Linked DNA regions of Macaca fascicularis. The protein of the gene in region 2 interacts with the protein of the main gene of each other region in a biochemical or structural test. Links are inferred from orthologs where the notes say so. Each region holds a gene or a part of one and is shown on either strand. Other genes may lie near its edges. The genes, in order: UBE2A, RAD18, HLTF and PCNA.

Region 1 (7,463 bases), on a different chromosome or scaffold from region 2:
AAAGACTTGTGATTAACTTCTTTGGTAGCTAGGTAATCACCTAGTTGAACTTCTGGGCAAGTGTATGCAGAAAGCTCAAGTCAAGGAACTTGTGAGCCACCAACATAGGTACTCAACTTGCTTTGCACTGTGAGTGTTTGATGTAGACCTAAAAGTACTGTTTAATATCTGAATGCCTTCATTGTATATTTCTTACTGATAGTTAAGTTCTGATTTTTGGGTTTTGCCTCTTTCAGCTGAGTCTAGAGATGTGAAACTTTAGAATTATTATAGCAAAAATAGTTGCTCATGGTTTTGGAGCACTTAACTTTGTGGCACTATGCATATTTCTCTCATTTAAACCTCACAACAATGCTGTGTGGTGGGTACTATTATTAATCTCATTTTACAAATGAGGAACTTAAGGTTTAGTCAAGGAGCACACCTTCCCCGAAGTCTCACAGCTAGTAAGTACCAAAGCAAGGACTTGGGCCCAGACCTGTCTGACTGCAGAGCTCACGCTCTTAGCCAGTATGTTGTACTGTTTTTGCTTATGGCTTCCCTGTGTCTTGCTTTACTACCTTTAGATATCATATTTAGTGATGGCTTTAAAGTAGCTGGGATGTCCATGTGCTATTACATCTTCCCAGTTTTAGAGCAGCGTCTCTTACTCATAATTTGGTCAGATTGCAACATCGATCCAAGTGTGTTTACACTTGAGATCATAATACATAAGGAAACTCAAAGTTTGGAACTCTAACACGTTCCCGCTTTTTCTTGCATATTATAATGTCAATAAATACTGAAAAGGAAGAACTGTGCTTTCTTCCTCAGAAAGAGGACGATTTATGACCAGGTGGTGATAAAGGTGAAGTATATTCTGATGGACATACTTCCATACTTCTAAAGGGCATATGTTTGTCCATTCCATAAGATTTTACTTTCTTTCCTTAGTTATAATACATAGTATCTTCAGGTCTGGCTTTGAAAAGAAAATAGGGAGTAACAATAGTTTGAGGAATATAATGTCTCTATATGTTGCATTTTATATTACTATGAAGCTTTGAGACACTTGTTCATACTAAGGGCAGCTTTGTTAGCAAATCGTTTCCAATGAGCTTGCTAAAAACAAACTTTTTGATATTGCTTTGTCACGGATCTAGTCCTAGAATGATTATAGTCTTCTCTCTTTTTCTTAAGCAGTGATAAACCTTTTAATGAGAACAAAAAGGAAATAAATTGCTAACTCTGAAGGAACCAGTAAGAAATACACCGAAGTGTGGTCTGTTGTTTTAGAATAATTTGTTAAATGGACCAGAGTAATACAGTGGAACATGCATCACCTTATACCATATAGTAACTGATTCTTTTAAGTTTACTTGAACAGATTTCAGTCAGGAAAAAACATTGCTCAATTGTTTTCTTGAATTTATTCAACAAACAATTGAAAATAATATATATATATATATATATATTTTTTTTTTTTTTTTTTTTTTTTGAGACGGAGTCTCGCTCTGTGGCCGGGGCTGGAGCGCAGTGGCCGGATCTCAGCTCACTGCAAGCTCCGCCTCCCGGGTTTACGCCATTCTCCTGCCTCAGCCTCCTGTGTAGCTGGGACTACAGGCGCCCGCCACCTCGCCCGGCTAGTTTTTTGTATTTTTTTAGTAGAGACGGGGTTTCACCGTGTTCGCCAGGATGGTCTCGATCTCCTGACCTCGTGATCCGCCCGTCTCGGCCTCCCAAAGTGCTGGGATTACAGGCTTGAGCCACCGCGCCCGGCCTGAAAATAATATTTTAAAGGACATAATCTCCTCAGATCACATCTTAAAATTCTTGAATGAGATCCAGTTTGTCCATGCCTTGTAAGTAAGTTTATAACCTACTATGCTTTAGGGCCTCCTGCTACCTTAGGTTGACATATATTTAAGAAAAATAATTTCATTTCCATAGTAGTGTAAACAAACATTAGAAAAATAAATTTGCTGGAAACGTGAATGCAATTTAAACAAAATATGATTTTAAAATTATTTCTGCCATTAATTCCTTCCATATGTGTGAATAATTGAGTTGATTTTATAGTGAAGTACCTTATGAGCCATACTTAAGGGTTTCTGAGAAGGACTATGAAGTTTTTCCTGGCTTAAATTCAATTAAGTTTTCATTATAGGATCACTATGACATGAAAAGGAACCAGAGTGAACACTTTTATACTTACTCTCTTCTATTTTAAAAATAGCTTGATTATGGATTTGTATTCTGGCATTGGTTTTTGAACCTTTGTGCCTTCATTCTTTCCAGTCTGTTTAAAAATCACTGGATAGTTGAAGATGGCAGCTGACTAAAATAGGCCTTTGAGGTCTTTTGGTCTTCTAAAGGAGGAAGGCCAAATTTTGGGCCCAGTTTCTTATTTTAAGGATGTTTTCAAAATGTACAGTGGCTAAAGTTATCTTGTATGCAGTAATTTTGTGTTTATGATGGCTGTCTTCAAGTTTGGGGGAAAATAATGGCAAAACAAAAAATCACATTTGAGTAGTTCTTAGAGCAATTCCTAGAGATGTATTTCTTACCTGGCCTCTCCTCTCTACCCTGTATCTTTGCATTATTTAATACTTGGAAAAACCCACATAGCATTAAAAACAAAGTACAACTGAACAAAGTGATAAATACATTTTCTTAAATCTTTCTTTTCTAACTACAGGAACATTTAAACTTACAATAGAATTCACTGAAGAATATCCAAATAAACCACCTACAGTTAGATTTGTCTCTAAGATGTTCCATCCAAATGGCAAGTATCACTTTTAGTACAGTGTTTTAAACTACTATAGTGTTTATTATGGAGTATTCCACATTTCCTGTGTATTTTGTGGTGCCTGAGTATTTGTTTAGGCAGCTTGCTGCTTCCTGAAAGCTGAACTTGTTCTTGGTTTTCTGTGGCTGTCTTGTCCTAGAACTGAAGCAGTGGAGTTATTTTCCCTTTGCTTGGAGTCTGGGAGCCTCCTGATTTTGATGATCTTTGTCATTTACTTATTAAACAAAACGAAGGATGCTCTTGAGGTTTCCTTTTAATGCTAGGCCAGATTGGGATAGTCTTGTGTTGTAATTATTTTCATTAGCGTTTAGAAAAGTAGTTTTCATTGGATGCATATCAGAATTACTGTGGAACATTTTAAAAATGCAGATGCCTTCGCCTCACTCCAAACCTACTGAATAGGATTCTGTTGTTGAGGGCCAGGCATACGGTATGTCAGAAAAGCACCACAGGTGATTCTAACTTACCGCTTTGCACTTTTTAAAATAGTAGTAAGCCTAGAACAGCTTGCCTTTTATTTAGGTTAATGAAGTATTTTTCAGGGTATCAGATATTTTTATCTTTTTGTCAAAATGAAATCTTGTGAACTCTGAGCGATCTTTTGTTATTTCAGATAGGCGATACAGCCTACAAATTTGGTGGAATGAATTTCCCACATGTCTGGGGATAGCTAGGGACCCTGTTCAAAAATGTTTGATTTCCTGGATAATAGGGCAGTCTTTTCCAAAGGATGAACACTAAGTATCTTCCAGTTTTATGCTGATCACATCTGACATTCTCTGATCATCCTGATTATTTCACTAGTGGTGGTTATGACTCATCTTTTTAGGCAGTTAACTGGGAAGCAACCTAGGAATCTTTTTAAAACTTCAAAAGCAAAGTATTCTTGACTATTTTTGTTTTGTCTATAATGTTAAAACCTTAGTGGTCTTGTTACGTTTAATGTACCTACTTCTTTGTTCTTAGTCTATGCAGATGGTAGTATATGTCTGGACATACTTCAGAACCGTTGGAGTCCAACCTATGATGTGTCTTCCATTCTAACATCCATACAGGTGAATTTTTCCTTAATGTGACGAACTATAACTTTTAATATGTTTATATTAGCAATTGAATTGTTTTTGAAAGTCATAATGTAATAGACCTTTTTATTTTTGGTCAAAGCTTGTTTGTTTTATAGATGAAAAGTAGACCATTAAGACCCAAGTCAGCTGGGTGCAGTCGCTCACACCTGTAACCTCAGCACTTAGGCAGGCCAAGGTGGGAGGATTGCTTGAGCTCAGGAGTTTGAGACCAGCCTGGGCAACATAGTGAGACCCCATCTCTCTTTTAAAAAAAAAAAAAAAAAAAAAAGACCCAAGCCACATGTGTTTTCCTAGCTACTAGCAGATTCATGTAACTCTGGGTTTGCGTGCTAAAGACAAGAAATGTGGCCGGGCGCGGTGGCTCAAGCCTGTAATCCCAGCACTTTGGGAGGCCGAGACGGGCGGATCACGAGGTCAGGAGATCGAGACCATCCTGGCTAATACGGTGAAACCCCGTCTCTACTAAAAAATACAAAAAATTAGCCGGGCGCGGTGGTGGGCGCCTGTAGTCCCAGCTACTCGGGAGGCTGAGGCAGGAGAATGGCATAAACCCGGGAGGCGGAGCTTGCAATGAGCTGAGATCCGGCCACTGCACTCCAGCCTGGGTGACAGAGCAAGACTCCGTCTCAAAAAAAAAAAAAAAAAAAAAAAAAAAGAAATGTAGCTGTACTTAGGACAATTCAATTGAGTGTCACTACCTTATAAAATAGCTGTTTTGCATTAAGTAACTGACATTTTAAAAATTGTCTCTTTAGTCTCTATTGGATGAACCCAATCCCAATAGTCCAGCAAACAGCCAGGCTGCTCAGCTGTACCAGGAGAACAAACGGGAATATGAAAAGCGTGTTTCTGCAATAGTAGAACAAAGCTGGCGTGATTGTTGACCCCGGGTACAGTTTAAAGAAGAAGCTGGCCATAAGAAAAATATATATTGATGTGTTTGTCACTCCCTACTCCTGTCATTACATTTACTTTATTAAAAGCAAAATAGCTGTTGTGCTGTTTCCATCTTCCTTGCCAAGTTTTCCTACCCCTTCTACCCTCTCCTTAAACATCAGAAAACACCCTCTATGAAATCAAATGTACTGTACCTGGGTTACTTGCAAAAATTACTAATGCTTCAGTTTTTCTGTTGTATTTCATTTCCAGTTTTCAAGCAGTTATTTTTATTACTGTACTTTAAGCTTTTAAGATGAATTGTTATACAAGAGGTGCTTATGCTTAGCTTGATGACCAGGATGTTATTTTTAATGAAATGATTGCTGAGTGTTTCATCCTGGCTGGTCCTTCACTTGTGTTGGATTTAGAAGTGAATGTGTTTGGAATATGGCCTACAGAGAATAGAAACAAATCCATGTAAACAATTTTGAAAGAGGAATGGGAGCTAAAAATCCTGTGATACTAAGATCTCAGTCATATGAATTACAAGATAGTATTTACTGGCAAGGAGAATGTTGAAGGACTCAGCTAAAGGAGTACAGCAATTGTAGTAACTGACACATCCTCTCTTTGCAAGCTACTGACAGGGCACACTCATGCTAAGTTTCAGAATATTGGTCTTCTGGGTTTTTGCTTTTTAAAAGAGGTGTGGGAGCAGAGGAATGGAAACATGCATGAGTTTTTGAGCTAGGGAAAGTTGGAGATACTTTAATCTTTTTAAAGGATCAGTGCTGCCCTAGATGAATAAACTCAATTGTCCATCTTTATTTTAGAGTTTTAATGAATTCAAGGAAGGGAACACAGCATATCTGTGGCCAACTGTTTTCCACTCAAATCCTGAGTTATTGCTGCATGCTTTAATTTCTTCCCTTTCAGCATCTGAGAACCTTAAAGCCAACGTCTGCAATCTGTTTTTCGATATTTATACTTTTAGATATATAGTACCTTTAAGTAGCAGTATGGGACAAGGCTTGTAAATGTTTTGTCTAATGTTCTATTGTCACCTTTTATGCATTTATCACTTCCAAATCTAACTTTGCACAAGTAACCCATGTAAAAAAAATGTACATTTTTCAAAGTTGTAAATAAAAATAACCTTAAAATTTCATAGTCAAGGTATCATTGTTTTTTTCTGGTTTGTTTGTTTTGGTTTGGTTTTTTTAGCTCAGTATAAACTTTTTGTATTGGTTTCTTATTGGGATCTCATATCTACTCATTTCCCCCCTCAAACATTAAGGTAAAAGCAAAAATACTCATTCTGGGAATGGAAAAGAAAAGACAGATACTTCTGGAGAGAACCTTTTTTTTTCTTTCCAGTCATAAGTGGTAATGCTTTTTAAACATTAACAATACAGAGCTGGGCGCAGTGGTTCATGCCGGTAATCCCAACACTTTGGGAGGCCGAGGCGGGCAGATCACGAGGTCAGAAGATCAAGACCATCCTGGCTAACACGGTGAAACCCTGTCTCTACTAAAAATACAAAAAAATTAGCCAGGCGTGGTGGCACGCCCCTGTAGTCCCAGCTGCTTGGGAGGCTGAGGGCAGGAGAATCGCTTGAACCCGGGAGGCGGAGGTTGCAGTGAGGCAAGATTGTGCTACTGCACTCCAGCCTGGTGACAGAACGAGACGCACCCTCAGAGACCAAGATCTAACTTGTTGATCCTGACATTCCACCTCTTTAAAAGCCCTAGCTCAAAAAAAACAGTACCAAACTACTAGATTTTTTTTTTTTTGAGATGGAATCTAGCTCTGTCGTCCAGACTGGAGTACAGTGGTGCAATTTTGGCTCACTGCCACCTCTGCCTCCGGGGTTCAAGTGATTCTCCTGCCTCAGCCTCCCGAGTAGCTGGGATTACAGGTGCCCGCCACCACGCCCAGCTGATTTTTGTATTTTTAGTAGAGATGGGGTTTCACTGTGTTGGCCAGGCTGGTCTTGAACTCCTGACCTCATGATCCACCTGCCTCAGCCTCCCAAAGTGCTGGGATTACAAGTGTGAGCCACCGCGCCCAGTCTAGATGGTATTTTAAATCCTATGTAAAATTTGGGAGTACAGATATCCTCAATCACTTTGATTAAACAAAACTCTGCTTTCTTCTGAGGAGCAACCCATCTCATTTTAAAGAGGCAAGGACAATGACTGTAAAAACTACCACCTCTTCGTACTTGTTTGGTTGGGTGGATGGTGCTAAATGAAGTTAAGTCCTTAGGATGCATGTATCCCATTCATCTTTTAAGACATGGTACTTGAAGCCTCAGTATGGAGAAGTACAATCTGCACTAATTACCACATTACTTGGATTGTTTCACCTAGGAGCAATGTCCTTCAATTTGCTTAATATTTTCCCTCAAGTCCATTTCTGCTTCAAAGTAGAACCACATTAAATTTTTCTATTTGGTGGATTAGTTTTGCATTAACTTTTTCATCCTGCTATGTGGCTGAGTGCTTTAAATATTGACACTGTTAATCATACCTGAAAAAATGTAAGGCGAGACTCAGAATGGTCAGGTTTAATAACTTTTTTCTTTTGTACACCTCCTGAGAAACACTATACCCAATCTCTTTCATAGGATAATCCGTTTAAAACCTTACAACAGAGCCAACAAGCTGACCTCCCAAAAACAACATATGCATGGTCAAAGGCACCA
Region 2 (7,463 bases):
GCTCTTTATTGAACAAATTGATACATTAATAATGGTGATCTTGAGGTCAGGGTTAATTATATTCAAAGATGTTAAAATGGTAGTAAATAAAGATTCGAGTTAGTATAGTATCCTAAGATAAGGTAGAATTGGTTGGGAGAGGTCTTAGAATCTTAAAGGGGCTCGCTCTACTGGGAAACAGGCCAGAAATGTGAAGAAAAAAAAGAGCTGGAGTGGATATCCTTTGTTATTATGATTCAACTTTCCTAGAGGCTTCTATTTTAGATCCAGTGAATACTCTTAGTACTCTTGTATCTTGGAAGTTAGAATGGTATCATTTGTATATATTTAAGAAAGCGTGCATCTTTCTTGCTCTTATGATTATGTAAAAGCCTCTCTAGAGAATGGAGTTTGGGAAGAAACCTAGAGTAGCAAACTAGGAATATCATGTTTCCATATTTGTATTTGAGGAAGAGAGAAGATAAAAAGAATCTTCCATGACACTGCAGCCCTTTGTATTCTTATGCTTGGTAGCTTTTAAATTTATTGCAAGTGATTCCTATGGATGCTGTTCTTGAGCAGTCTGGTACACCTCTTTTTTTTTTTTCGAGACAGAGTCTTGCTCTGTTGCCCAGTCTGGAGTGCGGTGGTGTGATCTCGGGTCACCACAACCCCTGCCTCCCAGGTTCAAGTGACTCTTGTGCCTCAGCCTCCTAAGTAGCTGGGATTCTAGGCACACAATACCACACCTGGCTAATTTTTTTGTATTTTTAGTAGAGATAGGGTTTCACCATGTTGGTCAGGCTGGTCTCGAGCTCCTGACAAATGGTCCACCTACTTCAGCCTCCCAAAGTGCTGGGATTACAGGCGTGTGATACCACGCTCGGCTAATTTTTTTGTATTTTTAGTAGAGATGGGGTTTCACCTTGTTGGCCACGCTGGTCTTGAACTCCTGACAAGTGATCCATTCACTTCGGGCTCCCAAAGTGCTAGGATTACAGGCGTGAGCCACCACGCCCATCCCTTGTACACCTCTTGGTATTCATTTTGTCAGTTGTAGATGGTTAACTTTCATTGTCCTAGCTTTACTGTGAAGATCTTTTGAATTTCAGGTAAGAAACATAAATGTGAATTTCAGCTTCTGGTGGATCAGGCTAGAAAAGGATACAAGAAAATTGTTGGAATGTCACAAAAAACAGTAACAATAACAAAAGAAGATGAATCTACAGAAAAGCTATCTTCTGTATGCATGGGTAAGAAACTATAATTAAAAACAGACATATGTTGAATTTCATTATTTACTTTTAATATGAAAAGAAAATTAAACCAAGGAAATTTACTTTGGAGTTCCTACTTCTTTGAAATGAGGAAAAGTATTTTTAGACAAACTTCATGTAGCAGTTTGTAAACTAGATTTATTACTGTGCGGAAAATGGTTGGAAGAATGTCCTGAAGAAACAATCTCTTTTTGTCTATCATCCTTTCAGTTAATGACAAATCATAAATTTCTTAGTTATTTAAGCTTGAGGATGTTTTCTAGGTGTAGAATTTATTGGTGGAGATCCTGAGAGATCCTGTAAGAGAGTGAATTATTTTTGTGATAGAACACTGGTGTTTACTTTGGATGAAATGTTCTGCCAAACGGTCTAAAGCTAATATACTGGTAGGCTAATACAGAGCACATTCCTTAACTTTGATCCATTTTAAAATTTGAAATTAATATTTTAATTCTATTGCCTGGGCTTTGGACCAGTGAACAAAAAAGAATCATAATGGGGGAAAGTGTGCAAGAAAATTCCTTATCATGTTTTTCTATACTGTGGCAAAATATATATAATACAATATTTATCTTTTTAACCCTTCATAAATGTATGTCATTGGCATTAAATACATTCACAATATTGTATAACTATCACCAATGTCTATATCCAAAACAATTTCATCATTCCCAGCACAAGCTCTGCACTCATGAAATAGCAACTCTTCCGTCCCCTCTGCCTCATAGCCCTGGTAATAACGGTTCCACCTTTTGTGTCTATGAGTTTGCCCATTCCAGGTACCTCATATAAATGGAATTGTATAATATTTTCTTTGTGTGTTGACTTCTTTCTCTAAGCATAATGCTTTCAGAGTCCATCAGTGTTGTAGCATATTTTAAAATTTCTTATTATGATTAAACAGTATTCTGTAGTATGTATATGCCATATTTTGTTTATCCATTTATCTGTTATGGTTATTTCCACCTTTTGGTAATTATAAATAATGCTGCTATGAGCATTGATGCTCAAATATCTAAGTTTCAGCTTAGAGTGGGATTTCTGATTCATATACTGGTTCTATGTCTAACCTTTTGAGGAATTGTTAAACTTTTCCGTAGTGGCTGCATTATCTTACATTCCCACCAGCAAAGCATAAGGGTTCCAGTTTCTTCACATCCTTATCAACGCTTGTTATTTTCTGATTTTTAAATTTTTTTAAAATTGTAGATGTGAAATGATATGTAATTGTGGTTTTGATTTGCATTTCCCTAGTGACTAATAAACAATTTGTGCATAAGGTGCTGCCTCAGTATGTAACTCATGGTCTTTGAACAAATCGAACTTGTTCATGCAATTGTGAAAGGATATTTCTAGAAACTAGTTTAGCACTTGAGAAAATCTGACTGAATATTTCCCATTAAGAAAACTTTTTTTTATTAGTTGAACCTCTCTTGAATATCATTGATGGCTTGTATGTATTTATGAACATCAGTATTACTCTTTCTGGGGTTCAAAGGTGATTGCTGCTTTTAGATTGCTGTGCATGAATGAGATGTCTGAGAGGGTAAGGAATGTGAGAGAGGTGAAGACAGACACAGACTGACTAAAAAGATGAATTTTGTATAGCATCATACAACCAATATAATTGTTGCTCTTTAGGACAAACATTGAAGTGCTCATGTAAGTGAACAAGTTGCATATTCTCTCAAGTGAAAACTTAGCCTGTTTTTGTTGTGTGTCTCTGGGGAGCTCTGATGTCTGAGCCTCACTCCTGAGGCTCTATTTTGAAGTCCTGCATTCTGAGATCTAAGGGCAGGTAGGAAGGATAACTTATTTTTTATGCCTACAGATTATTGAATGCTGTTTGTCCCCAAGAAGGAATATATTGTCTAGAAGTGTATGTAAGAGTGGAAGAAGTAAGAAAAGAATACAGACAATGTGCAAAAATAAAAGATTGTTTTCAGTTGAATTCCTGTTCCCTGGTTTGCTTTTTTGCATGCGCCTCACTAGTTGAGTAATATAGTCCCTGGGTGAACCGAGTTGACTGGGGGATTGGCTCCTCTTAATGTGATCCTGGTATCTGTTTACAAGAGGAGTTCTTAGAGGTTCAGGATGGTCATCCTGGCTAACTTCTTTTTCTCTTTTCCAGATATACTTTAGAGGGTGCTGTTTTGTTTTGCTAATGATAGTTTATTGATAGCCAGATGACATTAGGAGCATATTTTTAGGAATTATACTCTTGTGAAGTATGCTGTTCTCCCGCTATAACAAAAACTTAGAACTATTTCTGAAAAAAATTTGACTGTGTGAACTTGGCAAGGTTTTTTGAAGAATGTGTTATGTTCTTTCCCCATAAATTCTCTCTGTATAACCAAACCTTGACAATTGTATTTTTATTGTGCTTCGTTGAAGACCACTTGCCTCTACAAGTGCTTGAGGAGTGATGTGTGAAAGCTCTGTTTCTCTGTGAGGAAACACATGAAAGGAGCTCTGTACTATTATTAGCACGTGTAGCTTGCATGCGAAAGTACCTCCTCAGTTCCTGAAAGTTAAGGACAGCACAGATGAAAATCCCAGCAGAGTTTATGATGAGTAGGAGAATCCTGGGCACTAAAGAATCTTTCGCAGATATTCTTCTCGCTCATATTTGTAGAAAATTGGCCATTCCCATATGCCACATTTTTGTAAACACTGCATCCTTCCAGCTTTTTGGGGTCTTTATTTTTATCTGCAATAAGAGACCTTAAAAGCTGAGAATATGACAAAGAATGCATGGAAATGTGATGTATATTGGATCAAATGGAAATATTCCTTATGTCTGATTAGTTGTCCTTTTCCATAGAGAATAATTAGATTCTATTTAACAGGTTTAGAAAAATGTCCAGATAGATTCACTATCATATAGTAGTGACAAATATTGTGGTTGTCTTATTAGTTGAATCTGTAGTCTTTTTTTTTTTTTTGGTTATACATCTTACGTTGGTTTGTCAGTGTTCTCTGATCTATGAAATATGCAAGAATTCCTCAGTGATATGTTAATAGATGCCTCATTAGAATTACAAGATTCTTCCTGCTCCTGGTTTTAAAATAAATTTTATTTTTAAACTAATTAATCTTGGAAAAACATGGGCTGGATAGTATAATTAGGTAGCACCATTGTAGTGTTAATTCTTGCTCTCTGGCTGTCACTAGAGTTCTGGAATCAATGTGACATATTCTTCAACTTTACTAAGTGCATATGGTAGTATTAAGTGTTGCAGAAGTAATAGGCGTACAGAAGTTGTAGATTTTAACGTACTCTTAAATTTATTTTTTCCTAGGACAGGAAGATAATATGACCTCAGTAATAAACCACTTTTCTCAATCAAAGCTGGTAACAAACCACTTTTCTCAATCAAAGCTGGACTCCGCAGAGGAATTGGAACCTGACCGAGAAGAGGATTCTTCTAGCTGTACTGATATTCAAGAAGCTCTTTCTTCACCAGAATCAGATTCATGCAATAGGTAAGAAACATGCAGGAGTTGATTATTTTAAATATCTACCTCATATGCACACATAGATAGTTAGGCAGAAATAATTAGAAAGTAGCTTTGAGGCATGGTATGGTGTGTCACTCTTACATTTCAGTCCCCTTTTACTGCTGGGTCATCTTCACAGTGGTAACAAGGCAGGATTTGGGAAGGAAGTACAGGGATCAGAGGGTGAGTTTGGTATAGGCTTTATATAGCCTTTTTATAGATATAAAAAGGCTCTATAGCCTTTTTATAGATATTTTTCCTACCGTTGGAAAAGAAAGCATGATAGGCAGTGAAATTTTTGTCAAGACAATGAGTGAAGGAGATAAAAACAACTGTATTGGAAAACAGAGATGATCAGAAAGACATGGCACATAGGAGAGTTAAGAAATGAAAAATTTAACTGAGTAAATAGATGGGGAAACTTTAAAAATGAGAAGTTTGGTAATGAGTCATTTTGAAAAGATATTTTAAAAATATATAGGGTTTATTTTACACACACACATGCATGCACACATACCATTTTTTCTGGTCTTTCACTTAATATGTCATAAATGTTAACATTTCTATAGGTTGGCACAAAAGTAATTGAAACCACAGTTAATTTTGCACCAACATAATACCTTATGTTTATAATTGTTGTTTTTAAATGAGTACAGTATTTTGTTATGTCTCTGTACCATAATTTACCAGACCCTTCAGTTTCTGTTAGAGCTCTGCATTTTTTCCAGTGTTCTACTTACGTGCCTGATGCTATGGTAAAGCTCTTCCTTTGTTCCTATTGAATACTTTTTTTTTTTTTTTTTTTTCATTTTTTCGAGATGGAGTTTTGCTCTGTTGCCCAGCCTGGAGTGCAGTGGCGCAATCTCAGCTCACTGCAATCTCTACCTCCCAGGTTCAAGCATTTTTCCTGCCTCAGCTTCCCAAGTGGCTGGGATTACAGGCCTGTGCCACCTCACCTGGCTAATTTTTTTGGTATATTTAGTAGAGATGGGGTTTCACCGTGTTGGCCAGGCTGGTCTCGAACTCCTGACCTCAAGTGATCCACCCACCTCAGCCTCCCAAAGTGCTGGGATTATAGGCGTGAGCCACCATGCCTGGCCACTTTTCTTACATTTATTATTCTGATAGGTAGGCATTGCCTTCCGAATGAATTGTACTGATTTAAAAAATGCTACCAGCAGTATGTCAATATGAGTGTGTCTTGGAAGTTATTTGATCTTTGGTGTTAGTTTATTTAAAAATTAGTAACATTGCTGTAGAATGATAGACTATTTCTAATCTAACTAATGGAATTATTAGTACATTTTTTATTAGTATACCCAGTGACCCTCTGTTTTTGTAGGATACCTGGGAAACAGTTTCAAATTAGTCAGAATGAAGTATTAGGAAGGAGAAATCTTCCCATCTCATTCCAAAGATTTTCAAGATCAAAAAATTATATTTCTAGTTGACTGAGGGTAAAACATAGGGTTGCGTGATTTGTTATCGTAGATCAGGCCATTCCTGCAAGTCCAGTGCAGTATTTGTTTTTAAACACACATGTAGGAATACAGAAAAAAAAAAATCAGAGTCAGGGGAATAAGAGTTAGATTTTAACCATAGTCATTAGATGCTTGAATGTTTTGGAATGCCAGAATGATTTGGGACATTTGAGAATGGCAAAAACTGAAAGGGAAACGTGGGGCAGTCAGATGTCTTTATCTGGTTGTGAGAATATGGGAAGTGGGGCGAGTTTGTTGATGTCCTAGCCTCATTCAGACTTGTTGGCATCACTGAACTATGAGAGGACTATGGGAAAATGTCATTGCTTTTAGGTATACCATGGCCGAGGAACTAGGAGAGCAAGCAGTAGTCTCTGGGTTTAATAAAAAAGGTAAAGGAAATATGGCTGAGGGAAATATGGAGTAAACTTTATTGGGTCAATTTACTAAAATGGGTTAATCCAAAGGCTGATCATTGTAACTCATTACTCACTGAAAGAATTGAAAAGTACTTTCACACTTATCCCCAGTCACATATTGCTCCTGCTGCTACTTCATTAGGGGATTAGCCTTTTCTCATTATTTATCTTCCTACTGACCAAGATTCTGGGTAATATTATAAGTTTTACCATCTTTAATGATTTCCTCTTGATAGGAGTCACATAGGGGTATCCTTATACTACATTGTGAGGTGATCCTTTTGTTAGCAACTGAACGTAAGTACAGTGATGCTAGATTAACTTTTGTTCTCTGTCCATCACAGGGTCTGACATTACACTGTTGCACTCAGCCATTCAGCAAATATGTATTGTGTTCCAGGCACTATTCTAGACACAGCAGTTTATCAGGGATGAAACCATCAAATAATTTTTTAAAATGTAAGCACTTATATTCTACTTCACATTATAATTAGTTGGTAATATATGTACATATTTCTGCATGCACACACACGTACATGGCTCAGTGGAAGTACACACTAATTACATATTTTAACAGTTTTATTGAGATACAATTCATATACCACACAGTTAACTATTTAAGAGTACAATTCAGTGGTATTTAGTATATTCACAGAGTTGTACAGCCATCATCACAATTTTATAACATTTTTATCACCCCACAGAGAAACGCTGCACCCATTAGCGGTTACTCTCCATTTCTTCCCAAACCTCCTGCTCCAAGCCCTAGACAACCACTGATCTTCTTTATGTCTCTATAGATTTGA
Region 3 (8,227 bases), about 95 Mb from region 2:
GAGGCCAAGGTGGTGAGATTGCTTGAGCTGAGTTCGAGACCAGCCTGGCCAATGTGGCAAAACCCCCTCTCTACAAGCAATACAAAAATTAGCCTGGGGGTGGTGGTGCTGTGCCTGTAGTCACAGCTACTTGTGGGGCTGAGGCTGGAGGATTGCTCGAGCTCAGGAGGTTGAGGCTACAGTGAGTCGAGATCGCACCACTGCACTCCAGCCTGGGCTACTGGAGTGAGACAGTCTCAAAAAAAAAATTTTTTTTTGAGACAATTGTGAAAATTTGATTATGAACTAGTTATTAGAAGATACTAAGAAGTGATTTATTATTAATTTTGCCACGTCCGTAGTTTTTAGAGAAATTAGTGAAGGCCATTATCGGCAGGGTGGGTTGGGAAGTGACCCGAGAAATGAAGCTACTGTGGGAGGAAGAGCCACATGTGCCATTCTTGGATTTCAGGCTCACAGAATCAAACAGGGGAGTGACATGACATGATTAATTTGCATAAAGGTTCTGTGTGTGTGTGTGTGTGTGTGTGTGTGTGTGTGTGTGTGTGGCAGGGGGGTGCAGATGAGAAGTGTGTTTGTGACTGGGAAGTGGCTGACTGGAGAAATTTTGGATTCCTTTCCTTTCCATACCATTCCTACCCAAATTTATCAGTAAACCTTTTGGTTCTCTTGGCTTCATCACTTTCCCTTTCCAAGCCACCACTATCTCTTATCTGAACACAATAATTTCCTATCAGTTGCTTCTATTCTTGTTTCCTGTAATTCTCCACAGGGCTGCCAGCATTTTTAAAAGCCTAAATCAAGTCATCCTCCTGCTTGAAACATTCAATGGCTTTCCATTGCAGTTAAAACACAGTCTTTACTGGAGACTCTTAAGTTCCTGTGTAATCTGGACCTTATCTTCCCCACCATCCTTTTAGTGCCACTTTCCTCCTTACTTACTGGCCAAACCCCACAAGCCACCCTACAGTTCATTTTCCAGTTACAAGTGTTCATTTTTCATATGTACATGTGATGCTGTTATTAGAATAAATCAAGAAAAAACCAAAAAAGTTAATTTTTCAGAAAACATTATCTAGTATAATAGTTCTGAAATTGTAATTGCTGTAACATTTTAATCAAACTAGTACAAATTGTACTTGATCTTTGAAAATAAAACAAAGAATGATTAAGGGAAAGAATGTTCTACTCCTGGTTCTGAGATGTGAAATACTGATAACATAGAGAAAACTGTTGACTTTAAATAGCAAATTTTAGTTCATTTAAAGCACATTCTTTAACCATGGGACAGTCATTATTGATAGATCTTAAGTCTTTTTATTTTTTTGAGACAGAGTCTCACTCTGTTGCTCAGGCTGGAGTGTGGTGGCTTGATCTCGACTCACTACAACCTCTGTCTCCTTGGTTCAAGCGATTTTCCTGCCTCAGCCTCCCACGTAGCTGGGACTACAAGCGTGCGCCACCACCTCTGGCTAATTTTTGTATTTTCTTAGTAGAGTCGGGCCTTCACCATGTTGGCCAGGCTGGTCTCGAACTTCTGACCTCAGGTGATCCACCCAACTCGGCCTCCCAAAGTGCTGGGATTACAGGTGTGAGCCATTGCGCCTGGCCAGTCTTAAGTCTGAAAGAGCTACGTTCTCACATTTGGAATTTTTTCTTTGTCTAGTAAGCCTGACTTTCTTACTCTTACACACAAAACATCAATTTGAGCAATATCTGGCATATTTTCCAAGAATTTATTTAAAATCTGGCATACCAAATGCTGAACTGTATTGCCATTTGCCTCAACACACTTCAAGAAGAACATAAAACAATTAAAATAATTTGAAATGCCATTGTCTTTATCTTCTTCATCAACTTTGGTCAAATGAAATAATATATTGCTTCAAATTCTATTACTCATCGAAGGTTCATGATTACAGATGACTACAGTTTATTTACGATAATGAACAAATGTCTCTCTTGAAAAGCTGACTACCGGCCTGGCACGGCGGCTAACGCCTGAAATCCCAGCACTTTTGAGAGGCCGAGGCGGGCAGATCACCTGAGGTCAGGAGTTCAAGACAGCCTGGACAACATGGTGAAATCCCATCTCTACTAAAAACACAAAAATTAGCTGGGCGTGGTGGCGGGCGCTTGTAATCTCGGCTGCTCGAGAGGCTGAGGCAGGAGAATCGCTTGAACCCGGGAGGTGGAGGCTGCAGTGAGCCAAGATCGCACCATTGCACTCCCGCCTGGGGGACAGAGCGAGACTCCGTCTCAATAAAAAAGAGAAAAAACAGAAAAAGAAAAAAGAAAAGAAAAGCTGACCACCTAGTATTATTGTGTTGACGGGCGTGTAATGTGGACCTCTCTGTGACGGGCAAGTATTCTCTGGCAGTTACACGGCACCGCCTGTGCAGATCGGCGCCATCACCGGCTTCCCGCCCTGTGCGATTAAAAGGCCACCTTCGGGGACAGCAGCCTCCTCTCCATCCCCAACGCGCAGGGACCAGCCCTGATAGGCGTGGGCTGCAGCTGGTCCAAGGCTGACGGTCCCAGGGCTGCATTCTCCTTCCAGTCACCTCAGACTCTGGAAAGCGAGCCGTGGAGGGCCTCAGAGCGCCCCTCTGCAGTTCCTTGGGGAAAACAAGGGTCTCCCCAGCTGGGCTGGAGCAGCCACGTGCCCACTGGGAAAAGGGTCCTGTCCACCATTTCCGGCAAACGCCCCCATAGCTGTGATAAACATGTGATGGCTTTCCTGTACCAAGAAAGGAAAATTTTCCTTAAAAATAACGAAAAGAGGTGGGGAGGGGACTCTAAGTTCCATTTAAGATTTTCCAAACTCGTTGTGTCTCATCCATACGCTGAGGCTTAGCATGAAAATTTGGAGCGAAAGTCCCCAGGGTTCACCACAGGGAATGAAACAAAGTATCTCGCCGGTAGCTCCAGGTCTCGTAAACCGTGGAGCTCCTTCAGTATAACGCCCTATTACGTGCCACATTAGATGAGGAGGAAATAAGAGGAAGGATACGGTAGAGGCTTTAGAATGGGGTTGAGTCTTAGGACTTGTGGGGTAAAGGAAAGTCGTTTCCCTCCGTTTAAGGCAGGGAATCAAACAAAACGCCGGCACCGCAGGCACCGCAGTCGCACTCCTGGGGCCTCGTGGCTTTCCCGCGCGCCCGCCTTGGGGGCGGGGAAGAACCCGGATGGAACCACCCTTGCAGCCGGGACCCCCCGCAGTCTTTGAATGGCAGCGGGGCGGAGTTGCCCTCCCTTCTGTGCTCTGATTGGTTTGGCTCCGCACTCTTCTCTTCGTGATTGGGCTTTCCTAGTGCCAGTCACAGAGCGACGCTGGTCTCCCAGATTGTTGCTAGAAGGAGACAGCGTCGACGTCTGACTAGACTCGCAGCGACTTATCTTTCAGTCGTACGCTCCTTATCCGGCGCTCGGAATTTGTTCCCGGCTTCAGGGCTGCGGGACCTGGAACGAGGCGTATCGAGGCGGCTCGAGAACGATCCAGGGGAGCCGAGGCGCTCCTCTTGTCATCCCACTCAGCGCCATGTCCTGGATGTTCAAGAGGTGAAGGGGGCGGAGGGGGTGGGGCGCTGGGGCTAAGGGCCTGGAGGCGTCCCCAAATGAACCTGACCTTCCCCGCGTTCCTCCACGTTCCCCGGGCGATTTGTGCAGCTGTATTCGTTCTGTTGGTCGCATATGTGGCCGCGGGAGAAATAAATGCATTGTCTTGGCTGGCGAGTAGGGGCTATTAGGGCGAGTCTCGTGTTAGGGACTTGGGAAATCTCTGTCACCGACTGTGGGGGGCCTGGGGCTTAAAGCCTCTCGGCCCATGCGTTATTCAACAAAACATCCATTAGATACCCACTGTGCGGCAGGCATTATGCTCGGTGGAGGGCCGAGTAAGCCAGCCGTTGTCCCCAAGTGGCTCACAGCTTATGTGTATGCACAGACGTGCAGATACGTATTTGCAGAGGAGCTAATAGAGAGAATGCGCCACTTGCAAGGAAAACGCAGCGCAAATAAGCGACTGTTCTTAGGAGAATGGAAACTTTCTGCAATGCTCCAGTAGACTTCCCCTCACTTTTCATTGTCCAAATTGGTTTTTATGGTCATTCCCGAAACAGTTACACGTAACGGGTTTGGGGTAATGCTTAAACCAGCGACGGGAGGCGGGTACGGGTGGCTTGGGGCCAATTTCCCACGGTGGCGTGGCTTAGATACCAGAATAAAGTAAGTGTTCTGCTCGGAGGGAGTTACAGTGATGGATGCTGGATGTATTTTCTGGAAAATTATAAACAACTTCGTATACAATAGTAGTTGTATTTTTGTAAGTCTTTTGTAGCTGAATCCCTATTGAAATTTTGGCATATAATTTTATTTTTTTAATAATTTATATTTTTGAGATGGAGTCTCGCTCTCTCGTCCAGGCTGGAGTGCAGTGGCACAATCTTGGCTCACTGCACCCTCCGCCTCCCGGGTTCAAGAGATTCTCCAGCCTCCCGAGTAGCTGGGATTACAGATGTGCGCCACCACGCCCGGCTAATTTTTGTATTTGTAGTAGAGACAGGGTTTCACCATGTTGGCCAGGTTGGTCTCAAATTCCTGACCTCAGGTGATCCACCTGCCTCTGCCTCCCACAGTGCTGGGATTCCAGGCGTGAGCTACCACATCTGGCCCATAATTGTATTTACAGACATCATATACATTTCAGTTTAGATGATTTTCACTAGGAAAGATATTAGTGAGCTCTGACTAGGCTTTTCATTTTGAATTCCTAGGGGGCAGGTAGAAGAGCCAATATTGAAAACAGGTAAAGTTCCCGGGAAGCCTTCTCCACTCACTGCAATTCCTGCTTTAACGAGAGTAACTAACTATTAATCTTTACTGTGATTCCCATGTAAGATTTCATTTGCTGAAGTAAAGCATGAGAAAACCACTCATATGGTCTTTGGAAGTACTTAAATACTGTTTTTCTTTGCCTTTAAAAAAAAAATAGGGATCCTGTTTGGAAGTACTTGCAGATTGTGCAGTATGGAGTTCATGGAAATTTTCCACGCCTCTCATATCCAACTTTCTTTCCACGTTTTGAGTTCCAAGATGTTATCCCTCCAGATGACTTCCTAACTAGTGATGAAGAACTAGATTCCGTTTTATTTGGAAGTTTGAGAGGTCATGTGGTTGGACTACGCTATTACACGGGAGTAGTGAGTATAATAGTAGATAACTAAATTAAATTTTGATTATATTTGTGGCGTTAATCTAGAAAATAAGAGAATTAGCAGGTGATGTGTACGGTTCATCTTTATTTTACTTTAAGTTAATGAAATATTTGTACCCCAAAAATAAAAAATACCTCAAGTGACCCTCCCACCTCAGCCTCCCAGAGTGTTGGGATTACAGGAGTGAGCCACTATGCTTGGTCTCAGTGCGTTATGTTTAGTTATTATGGGTAACACCCCGCCCCCACACCCCAGTGCCTTGTTCATGTCATCGATTTGTTGCAAAAAGGAGGTAGTTTTGTGAAATCTTCTGGATTTTATTCTTTCATTTCTCCGTATGTTTCTTACTTTTAAGCTTCTTAAATCTTTTTTATTTTTGGGTGTCTGAAGCATGTTCAGCAGGAGATTCCTTGGGAGTTTCATGTTCTGGATTTGTTTTTCTCCTATATTTCCTTTACATTGGAACTTTACAAGTTGTTTTTTGATTGTCTGAAATGTGTTGTCTAGGAGATTCCTTAGGGAGAAACAGTATTTCCTAAGTTTTTGTCATAATTGTGGCATTTTATGAATGACAGTTTCATAAAATGAAAGTTGTGAAGGACTTAATGACAGTTGGGCTGAATTTAAAATCTTTGTAATATATAGTTTCTCTCCATATCCTAATGTTGTATAGAATTTTCAGGCCAGTGTGATTTTCTCTTTCACTTAAGAGAATTGGATTTTTTTTTTTTCCCTTTTTTTTTTGAGACCAAGTTTCGTTTTGTTGCCCAGGCTGGAGTGCAGTGGCCTGATCTGGCCTCACGGCAATCTCTGCCTCTCAGACTCAAGCAATTCTCCCACTTCAGCCTCCCGAGTAGCTGGGACTGCAGGTGTTTGCCACCATACCCAGCTAGTTTTTGTATTTTTTTTTGTATTTTTTTGTAGGTTTTGGTATGTTGTCCAGGCTGATCTGGAACTCCTGGGCTCAAGTGATCCGCCCACCTTGGCCTCCCCACGCGCTGAGATTCTGTGCCCAGCCTCTAGTTTTTTCTAATAGATTCTTGAAATCTATCAGTTCTTATTTCGTATCTATGTATTCTCTAGCTCTCATATGCATTTCTGAGCTTTTCTGTTTCAGATTTGTGCTAATTTTTCAAAACTTACATTGTTTTCAATAATTATTTTATACCACCATGAAATACTAGATTATGGTAGTTATTGATCTTAGAACAATCAGTATTTTGGATCTGAGAATAATCTCTGTGACCTCGGTAAGCTAGTGTGTGTTGAAAAAATGTAATCATCAGTTTTCTTCTTTTGCCAAATATATATATTTTAAATTTTATTTTTTCCAGGAACACTGTGTTGAGATATCATTTATTTTATAGTTAATACATGTTCTTTTTTTTTTTTTTCCTGAGACAGAATCTTGCTTGTGTTGCCCAGGCTGGAGTGTAGTGGTGCAGTCTTGGCTCACTGCAACCTCTGCCTCTCAGGTTCAAGCGGTTCTTCTGCAACAGCCTCCTAAGTAGCTGGGATTACAGGCATGCGCCATCACGCCCAGCTAACTTTTTGTATTTAGGAGAGATGAGGTTTTGCCATGTTGGTCAGGCTGGTCTTGAACTCCTGACCTCAGGTGATCCACTCACCTTGGCCTTCCAAAGTGCTGGGATTACAGGCATGAGCCATCGCGCCCAGCCGTGTTCATTATTTTTAAATGGCTAAAAAAGCATTAAATCTTCTAAAGTGTATCATTCAGAACCGTAACTTATCTTCTACACTTGTGTTGAGTATATGCATGTAAATTGGAATCATATTACATATTAATAAAAATAAGATCATATTATCCCTAATGTGATTAGGAATATCATCTATATTGGACTTATAATTTCCTTATTGATGGACATTTTTGAGTTAATCACTATTATAAAAAAGTAATAAAAATTGAGGTACTATCTTTGCATACTTGTTATTTTAAGTTTTGTCTTCTTTATTGAGATGTGGTTTACATATGATAAAATGTACATATTTTAAGTGTATGATCCTAGTGTTTTGACAAAGATGTATACCTGATAACTATTACCCCAATCAAGATACAGATTGTATCCATCTCCCTGAAAGTATCTTGTATCCTATTACAATCATTTTTCCCTGCTCCTGCCCTAGGCAACTGCAAGTCTGATTTCTATCGCTATAGATAAGTTTTGCCTATTCTAGAACTTCACGTACATTGAATTATACAATATGTACTATTTTAAGTCTGGCATTTTTCACTCAGCGTAATTTAAGTACTTCTTTGGTCAATTTTGGTTATTTATATTTTTGAAGAAAAGCATCCATTTTATTTAGATAGTGGAACTTATTCCCATAGAATTGTGCATAGTAATCATGTATCCTTATAAAATTGTAACTCAGATTTTCTGGAATTGGGATTTGGTGGTGTGACAAACTTGTGATGCTCACAAGTGACCAGAACTCCTATTCCTGAAGGATTTTGAGATCAAGGAACACGTATTTAAACTCCCGTTTATGCCTTGGTTCTAGTTCCTCTTTCCGAGTTGAATAACCATTTTTTTGGTGGTTTTAAGTTGGTGCTCTGAACCTTAATTTCAGTACTCTTAACAATGAATTGTCAAATTTTGATAAAATGTGCCATTTTTTAAATGTCTGCCAGAACACAATTTTATATGCCTTATTGGCTCCATTAAACTTTTTAAAAACTTTAAAAAAAAGGTGGTTGTGTTCCTGTTTTTATTCTTTGCATTATACATTTGTGTCTTTTTTATTGATTAACTGTGACATCATTTCAAGACAGCCTCTTGTAGATTTTTCTTAATGATTATGTTTCTTGGCTTAATAATTACTCTCTTACATTCGGTTTTTCTACTTAGGTTCATTTTCTTTTTTTTTTCTGTTGGACTTGCAATTTGAACCTTAATTTGAGTCATTTAATCTTTTAATCTTTAAACGTGTAAGTATTGCATTGCCTTTAGGCACCAAGATTTGTTATATAGTATCATTCTTTATTTTTA
Region 4 (6,755 bases), on a different chromosome or scaffold from region 2:
TATTTTTGTGTGTGGGTGTGGGGGCAGTCTTGCCCAGGCTGGTCTGGAACTCCTGGCCTCAATGATCCTCCTCCGTCAAGATAAGTTAATATAATTTAAGCCTACTTCATAACAGAACTTTTTCTAGAAACATATCTACTGGTGCATGTTTTAAAGAGATTTTAGTATTTGGATAGTTGTTTACCACAAGTCTAAAACTCACTGGTTAAATTTATTGTTTACTGCCAGTTGTCTATTTGCATTAATTTCCATGAACCTCTTTTAAAATTTGCTTCCTTCTAGGATGGTTGGTTTTGTTTTGTTTTGTTTTGTTTTTGAGGCGGAGTATCGCTCTGTCGCCCAGGCTGGAGTGCTGTGGCCAGATCTCAGCTCACTGCAAGCTCCGCCACCCAGGTTTACGCCATTCTCCTGCCTCAGCTTCCCGAGTAGCTGGGACTACAGGCGCCCACCACCTCGCCCGGCTAGTTTTTTTTTTTTTTTTTTTTTTTGTATTTTTTAGTAGAGACGGGGTTTCACCAGGTTAGCCAGGATGGTCTCGATCTCCTGACCTTGTGATCCGCCTGTCTCGGCCTTCCAAAGTGCTGGGATTACAGGCTTGAGCCACCGCGCCCGGCCCGATGCTTGGTTTTTATTAAGTGGGTTTGAAAGCTATCTTAGAAGAAATGTATCCAGGTTAGGTTTATAAACACCAAAGGAGAGAAGAAATGTTGGAATGTTGAAAATGCCTAATATCATATTCTCTCGTTTTCTTTTAGAAAATAGTTAGACCTGCTTGCGCCGTCATCATTTCTGTGGCATACTCTAATGTTCTCTTACTTTATCCCTGGAGGATGAGGAGGAGGAGGCGCTTGTTCCCTGGGCAGTGCATTTAATAGCCATTTATTTTTTTTGAGTGGAGTTTGTTAAGAAATTACACGAGTCAGTAATCAGAAAATCTTGATTCTGAGTTGTTTAGATGTTGCCTTTTAAGAAAGTGAGGGTGCCAAATCATTAAATTTCTAACAATTAACTTTTGGAAAATTTTTGTTCTTAATAGGAACAAGAGTACAGCTGTGTAGTAAAGATGCCTTCTGGTGAATTTGCACGTATATGCCGAGATCTCAGCCATATTGGAGATGCTGTTGTAATTTCCTGTGCAAAAGACGGCGTGAAATTTTCTGCAAGTGGAGAACTTGGAAATGGAAACATTAAATTGTCACAGACAAGTAATGTCGATAAAGAGGAGGAAGCTGTAAGTAGTTTTTAAGTAAAAAAAATAGTTTGAAGAGAATTGTAATACTGCTTATTAGGTTAATTGCTAAAATTAAAAGTAGACAGAATTGGATCCCAAGTAATTTCTGAAAATTGAGATACTGTTGAAATCTGCAACTGATTTGTAAGTGTCATCCAATTTAGAATTATATTTGCAAGAAGGGAATACAAATTCAGCACGTGTACATACCACAGAACAATGGTTTATGGATCAAGCCCACACAGGCTCTTAAGGGTAGGATTGGGAAGCTAGGCATCTAACCTTTAGCTTTCTGGAGATACTTACTCTTACCAAATAAGCATAGAACAGCAACTCTATAGAAGGGTATGGTTAGGAGTAAAAGTCTACCTGTTAGGAGCACTTATGTAATCCTTATATTAGCGTACATGTTGTGGGTCCAATTGGTAGCCCATTTTAAAGGTGGAGAAGCAGGCTGAGCAATCTTAAGTGACAATTTAGCCAAAGTCACAGGCTGTAGGAATCAAAGGTTAAACAGGAAGACTTCTCACTAAGGCTAGAAAGCAGACTCCGTGCAACTTTGAGAGTACTTAGAGAGCCCTTGCTTAACCAAAATAGAAAAAATTAGCCGGGCATGGTGGTGCACACCTGTAACCCCAGCTACTCGGAAGGCTGAGACAGGAGAATGACTTGAACTGAGGAAGTGGAGGTTGCAGTGAGCCCAGATCATGCCACTCCCCTCCAGCCTGGGTGACAGAGCAAGACTCCATCTTAAAAAAAAAAAAAAAAAAAAAAAAAAAAAACTCGGTAACCTGAGCATAAATTAAAACTTGGTAAATCAAGGACGAAGGTCCTAATCTCATAAGCTTGTTAGGATTAAATATGGTAACATTAAAGAGCTTAGCATATGCTGTGTCTGGCATATTACAAGCTTACAATAAATACTATATATTGCTTTCTTGTCCCTTGAATGGGTAGTCAACATTTAGTTTAAATAAAGTTGTAAAATTCAGTTGGAAGTTGTTTTTTTTTAATTAATAAAGGCTAGGAGCTGATTCTTTATCTGTTTCCTGAATCACATTTCCGCTCCTCTGCTAACCTTATTTTTTTCTTTTTCTGTTTTTCTTTGTTTTTGAGACAGGGTCTTGCTCTGTCCATCCAGGCTGGAGTGCAGTGGTGCAGTCATGGCTCACTACAGCCTCAAACTCCAGGGCTTAAGTTGATCCTCCTGCCTTGGTTTCCCTAGTAGCTGGGACTACAGGTGTGTGCCAACACACCTAGCCTGGTTTCCTCTAATTTCATTATTCCCCTTCCATTACAGTCTATTTGTTGAAGAAATTAGATGATTTGTTAAGTTTTCCAGAGTTTGGATTTTGCTGATTGCATTCCTGTGTATACGTAAATTCTTCCACCCTGTGTCCTACAGACTGGTAGCTATAGCCCTGGAGCCTTGATGATATTCAGGATGTTTTGTTTCGGCCGGGGGTGAGAGAGCACGAATACTTTATAGGTGGTGGTGTGTGCCTCTAGTAGAAGGCACAAGGGGTCTGGACGTCTTCGCAGTGTTAGCAGCTATAATAGTCATTGTCTAGATCCATTAAGTCATTAGAGTTTGCAGAGCTGAAATTAATACGTTTTATTCATTTATTAGCTGCTTATCAGAAGAATTTCCATAAAGAAAAGCTTTCCCATATTATATAATTTGGTTATCTAAATTATAGGAAAGACGAGCTAGATACTCAATTCTTTTGCTTTACGCATCAGTCTTCAAAATTTTCATAGCTCCCTCCAAAGTGACTAATAAAAGTGTTTGTGGGTTTTTATAAATGCAAGCTAATAGATTGCAACTTTCTTGATGTTTTTCAATGATGAATCTTCTGTTTTCTCTTGTAGGTTACCATAGAGATGAATGAACCAGTTCAACTAACTTTTGCACTGAGGTACCTGAACTTCTTTACAAAAGCCACTCCACTCTCTTCAACGGTGACACTCAGTATGTCTGCAGATGTACCCCTTGGTAAGATAATAAATTTGAACCTTGTTTTGTAGGTAGTATATGTGATACTCCTCAGTAATTAACTATCTTCCGGTCTTTCAGTTGTAGAGTATAAAATTGCTGATATGGGACATTTGAAGTACTACTTGGCTCCCAAGATCGAGGATGAAGAAGGATCTTAGGCATTCTTAAAATTCAAGAAAATAAAACTAAGCTCTTTGAGAACTGCTTCTGAGATGCCAGCATATACTGAAGTCTTTTCTGTCACCAAATTTGTACTTTTAAGTACATATGTAGATATTGTTTTCTGTAAATAACCTATTTTTTTCTCTATTCTCTGCAATTTGTTTAAAGAATAAAGTCCAAAGTCAGATCTGGTCTAGTTAACCTAGAAGTATTTTTGTCTCTTCGAAATACATGTGATTTTTATAATACAAGAGGGTCTTGACTCTAAATGCAGTTTTAGAATTGTTTTTGAATTTAAATAAAGTTACTTGAATTTCAAACATCACAGGGCAGTGCCTTCATTTTGACCAGGACTGTTGGAAGTATCCTACTGAATTCCCAGCTACAGCTACCCTTTCATGTAAATGGTTTTTCAGTTTAGAGCAGCCTGATGTAGATCAAAAGGATTTCAAATACAGTAGGTTACTAGATATTTTAGGGGGATTCGCTTGTCAAACTTGTTATTCCAATTTGAGGACGAGGAACAAGTGAGAGTAGTACAAATCCTGTGTATTTCATTTTACTTGGCAAAAGTTAATACTCTTCAGAAGCTTCGTGTACCCAAAGTCTTGTTGGCTTTATAAGGATGTTAATGGAGTGTTTCTTTTTAGCCTAGGGAGTCCTACAAGAGTCTTTGATGTTTCAGTAGATCTGTAATGGGACCCAAGGAGTATGGTTCTGCAAAATTTCTCTATTATAAATACACTTTTTGCAACTTCACTCACATAAAGGATGAAGATGTCTTAAATTCCATGGATGTTGGATCCAACCAAGAAAGTGAAAAAGCCCTGAAGTTACGAAGAAAGACTTAAAAACATTCCCATTAATAGCTGTAAGATAACTGTGCTGTGTATTAATTTTTTGCGTGGTGCAGTGCCTCACACCTGTAATCCCAGCACTTTGGGAGGCAGGCGGATCAACTAAAGTCAGGAGTTTGAGACCAGCCTGGCCAACATGGTGAAACCCCATCTCTACTAAAAATGAAAAAAAAAAAAAACTAGCTAGGCATGGTGGCGCATGCCTGTAGTCCCAGCTACTTGGGAGGCTGAGGCAGGAGAATTGCTTAAACCCGGGAGGTGGAGGTTGCAGTGAGCCGCGATCATGCCACTGCACTCCAGCCTGGGCAAGAGTGAGACTCCATCTCAAAAATACATATATTTTTGGCTGGTTTGATAGTAGTAGGTTATCAGAACTTACATTAGTGTCACTGAAGTAGGTATACAACCCCCGCTGCTAAATTTGGCTTTAGAAAAAGCATTTTTTAAAATTGCTTTATCATAATCTTTTTTTCCAGTACATTTTTGTTTGGTAGATTAAATGACTAGTTTCTTTATTAAATTACTTGGACTGAGTTCTAGTTACTGGACATGAGAATTAACCATGTCCAGTAGTAAGTATTCATTTTCCTACAGTGTGCCTCTGAGTGAAGAAGGAAACAGGCTGCAAAAGAGGCTGATGGAATTTTGGGGTGATGGATGTATTTCCATCTAGATTGGTGATGGTTCTAGGACCATACGTATTTTCAGAGCTCATCTATTTGTACTTGTGTATAAATTATACCTTAATAAACAACTTTCTGAAAAGCTTCATGTGCAGCAAAATGTCCCTTGTGGGCAGGCCTTTTACCTGGACAAGGCCTGAAAATAAGCACAAGTTTGTGGAGCTATTCAAGGGAAGTATAGTGGGGTATTGACAGCACAGTTTACAAGTGTGCTATTCAAGGGAAGTGTGGTAGTGGGGTGTTGAAGGCGAGCGCCCGTGGAAGGCTGGCGCCTTGCAGCGGATATCTGGCCGCACTGACTTCTGGTCCTGAGGCTGCGACGGACTCGGCTTCTGCCTCCCTGGGAAGCCATGGCGCTCTCTAGCCTGGCCCGTTCTAAGGAAGGGAGAAACCACGTAGCTGGCTTGCCCTGGGCCTGACGGTGACCCAGGTGGGCGAGGACCCTAGGTGCTCGCCCGCCACAGTGGAGGTAGCCGGCGGCGGGCACAGGTCGTGGCTGCCTAAACAAAACCCACGAATCGGCATTCGGCCCGTGCAGCCCCGATGCCTCCTGCAGCTGATACTCGGTAAGTGATAGCCTGGGAAGCTGGTTGAGGAAACAAACGCTTCCGGAGACGCAACTTCCGACGCGCCTGTTTCCGGCACGCCACTTCCGGCGCACTGATCCCGGCTGGGGTGGGCTGAGTGGCCCTTAAGCGGGCCGTACCATGCGACCTCGTGCGCTGCCAACCGTGGGCGAGCTCTGGGTGTGCGGGCGGCCTGGCGCGGCGCTCCGGTAAGGCGTGTGTGCGACGGCGCGGGGACAGAACCGTCCTCTTGGGCTCTGGGCGTGTCCGAGACCGCGCTTCCCGCCTAAATCAAGCTCCGAGTCATCCGTGTGGGGCATTCGTCCTCCCTGGCACAGTTTGTTTTACGTCTAAATTCTCGTCGGTTCTTATTTATCTCTCTGGCAAGGTCTGAAGACGGGCAGGAGAATAACGTATGTAGAGACGCGTGATGCCAGGCACTGTGCCAAACGTCTTATGATGCTTTTAGAACTCTCTTAACATTCAGGTGCTGAGGGAGTTTGGGGGTAGCGGTGAGCTGTTAAAAAGCCTGTTGGGAACGAAGACTGATACTTTGAAAATGCTCGTTTTTCTTTTCCCCCTCTTTTAGAATCCTCTTTGCCAAGAGTAAACATTCGTCTCCCCTCTCCCTCACGCCCCTGCGATGTGTTGTTTTGATGCGGATGTATGAATAATGTCAGGACGTACTTAACAAAAAAGTCTAAGTGCAAGTTAGATGTGGTTAAATTCCTTCAAAAACCACACATATTGGTAGTTTGAACTTTTATAGAATTAAATGCAGTCGGGATCACAACACTAAAAACCTAGTATTTGACGCAGTTTGATCCAATCTTTTTTGAAAAGTATAGAGATTAGCATTATGCTCATTTTTCAATACTTGATTTCTAGACCAGGATGTAATCAATAAAAAGGGACACTAATATTTAGCACCAATTATTTAATTATTTATGCTAGTTACTTTGCATTGACTGCAAGCCACTTAAAACAGTTTGTTAGGCCGGGCACACTGGCTCACGCCTATAATCCCAGCACTTTGGGAGGCCGAGGCGTACGGATCAAAAGGTCAGGAGTTTGAGACCAACCTGGCCAATATGGTGAAACCCATCTCTACTAAAAATACAAAAATTAGCCGGGCATGGTAGCAGGCGCCTGTAGTCCCAGCCACTTGGGAGGCTGAGGCGGGAGAGTCGTTTGAACCCTGGAGGCGGAGGTTGCAATGAGCCGAGATCGGGTCACTGCACTCCAGCCTGAGTGACA

Evidence for each region.
Region 1: the proteins of RAD18 (region 2) and UBE2A form a complex in vitro, tested with the Homo sapiens proteins (12 studies listed by BioGRID, with this or other methods). The link is inferred for Macaca fascicularis from reciprocal best matches to the Homo sapiens genes RAD18 and UBE2A.
Region 3: the proteins of RAD18 (region 2) and HLTF form a complex in vitro, tested with the Homo sapiens proteins (2 studies listed by BioGRID). The link is inferred for Macaca fascicularis from reciprocal best matches to the Homo sapiens genes RAD18 and HLTF.
Region 4: of the proteins of RAD18 (region 2) and PCNA, one has a biochemical effect on the other in vitro, tested with the Homo sapiens proteins (21 studies listed by BioGRID, with this or other methods). The link is inferred for Macaca fascicularis from reciprocal best matches to the Homo sapiens genes RAD18 and PCNA.

The regions. Positions count from the first base shown.
Region 1 is NC_088395.1:125,918,803-125,926,265, forward strand, and holds the end of UBE2A (ubiquitin-conjugating enzyme E2 A), read left to right. Parts: intron 1-2,677; coding exon 2,678-2,767; intron 2,768-3,757; coding exon 3,758-3,846; intron 3,847-4,631; coding exon 4,632-4,760; 3' UTR 4,761-5,923; downstream 5,924-7,463. UniProt on the Homo sapiens protein: E2 ubiquitin-conjugating enzyme that accepts ubiquitin from the ubiquitin-activating enzyme E1 and transfers it to a E3 ubiquitin-protein ligase. In vitro catalyzes 'Lys-11', as well as 'Lys-48'-linked polyubiquitination.
Region 2 is NC_088376.1:147,158,663-147,166,125, reverse strand, and holds part of RAD18 (E3 ubiquitin-protein ligase RAD18), read left to right. Parts: intron 1-1,091; coding exon 1,092-1,232; intron 1,233-4,558; coding exon 4,559-4,742; intron 4,743-7,463. UniProt on the Homo sapiens protein: E3 ubiquitin-protein ligase involved in postreplication repair of UV-damaged DNA. Postreplication repair functions in gap-filling of a daughter strand on replication of damaged DNA.
Region 3 is NC_088376.1:51,895,840-51,904,066, reverse strand, and holds the start of HLTF (helicase-like transcription factor), read left to right. Parts: upstream 1-3,343; 5' UTR 3,344-3,541; coding exon 3,542-3,561; intron 3,562-4,993; coding exon 4,994-5,201; intron 5,202-8,227. UniProt on the Homo sapiens protein: Has both helicase and E3 ubiquitin ligase activities. Possesses intrinsic ATP-dependent nucleosome-remodeling activity; This activity may be required for transcriptional activation or repression of specific target promoters.
Region 4 is NC_088384.1:82,163,694-82,170,448, forward strand, and holds the end of PCNA (proliferating cell nuclear antigen), read left to right. Parts: intron 1-1,036; coding exon 1,037-1,231; intron 1,232-3,103; coding exon 3,104-3,227; intron 3,228-3,308; coding exon 3,309-3,388; 3' UTR 3,389-3,712; downstream 3,713-6,755. Other genes in the region: TMEM230 (transmembrane protein 230), read left to right, coding at 5,640-5,707. UniProt on the Homo sapiens protein: Auxiliary protein of DNA polymerase delta and epsilon, is involved in the control of eukaryotic DNA replication by increasing the polymerase's processibility during elongation of the leading strand.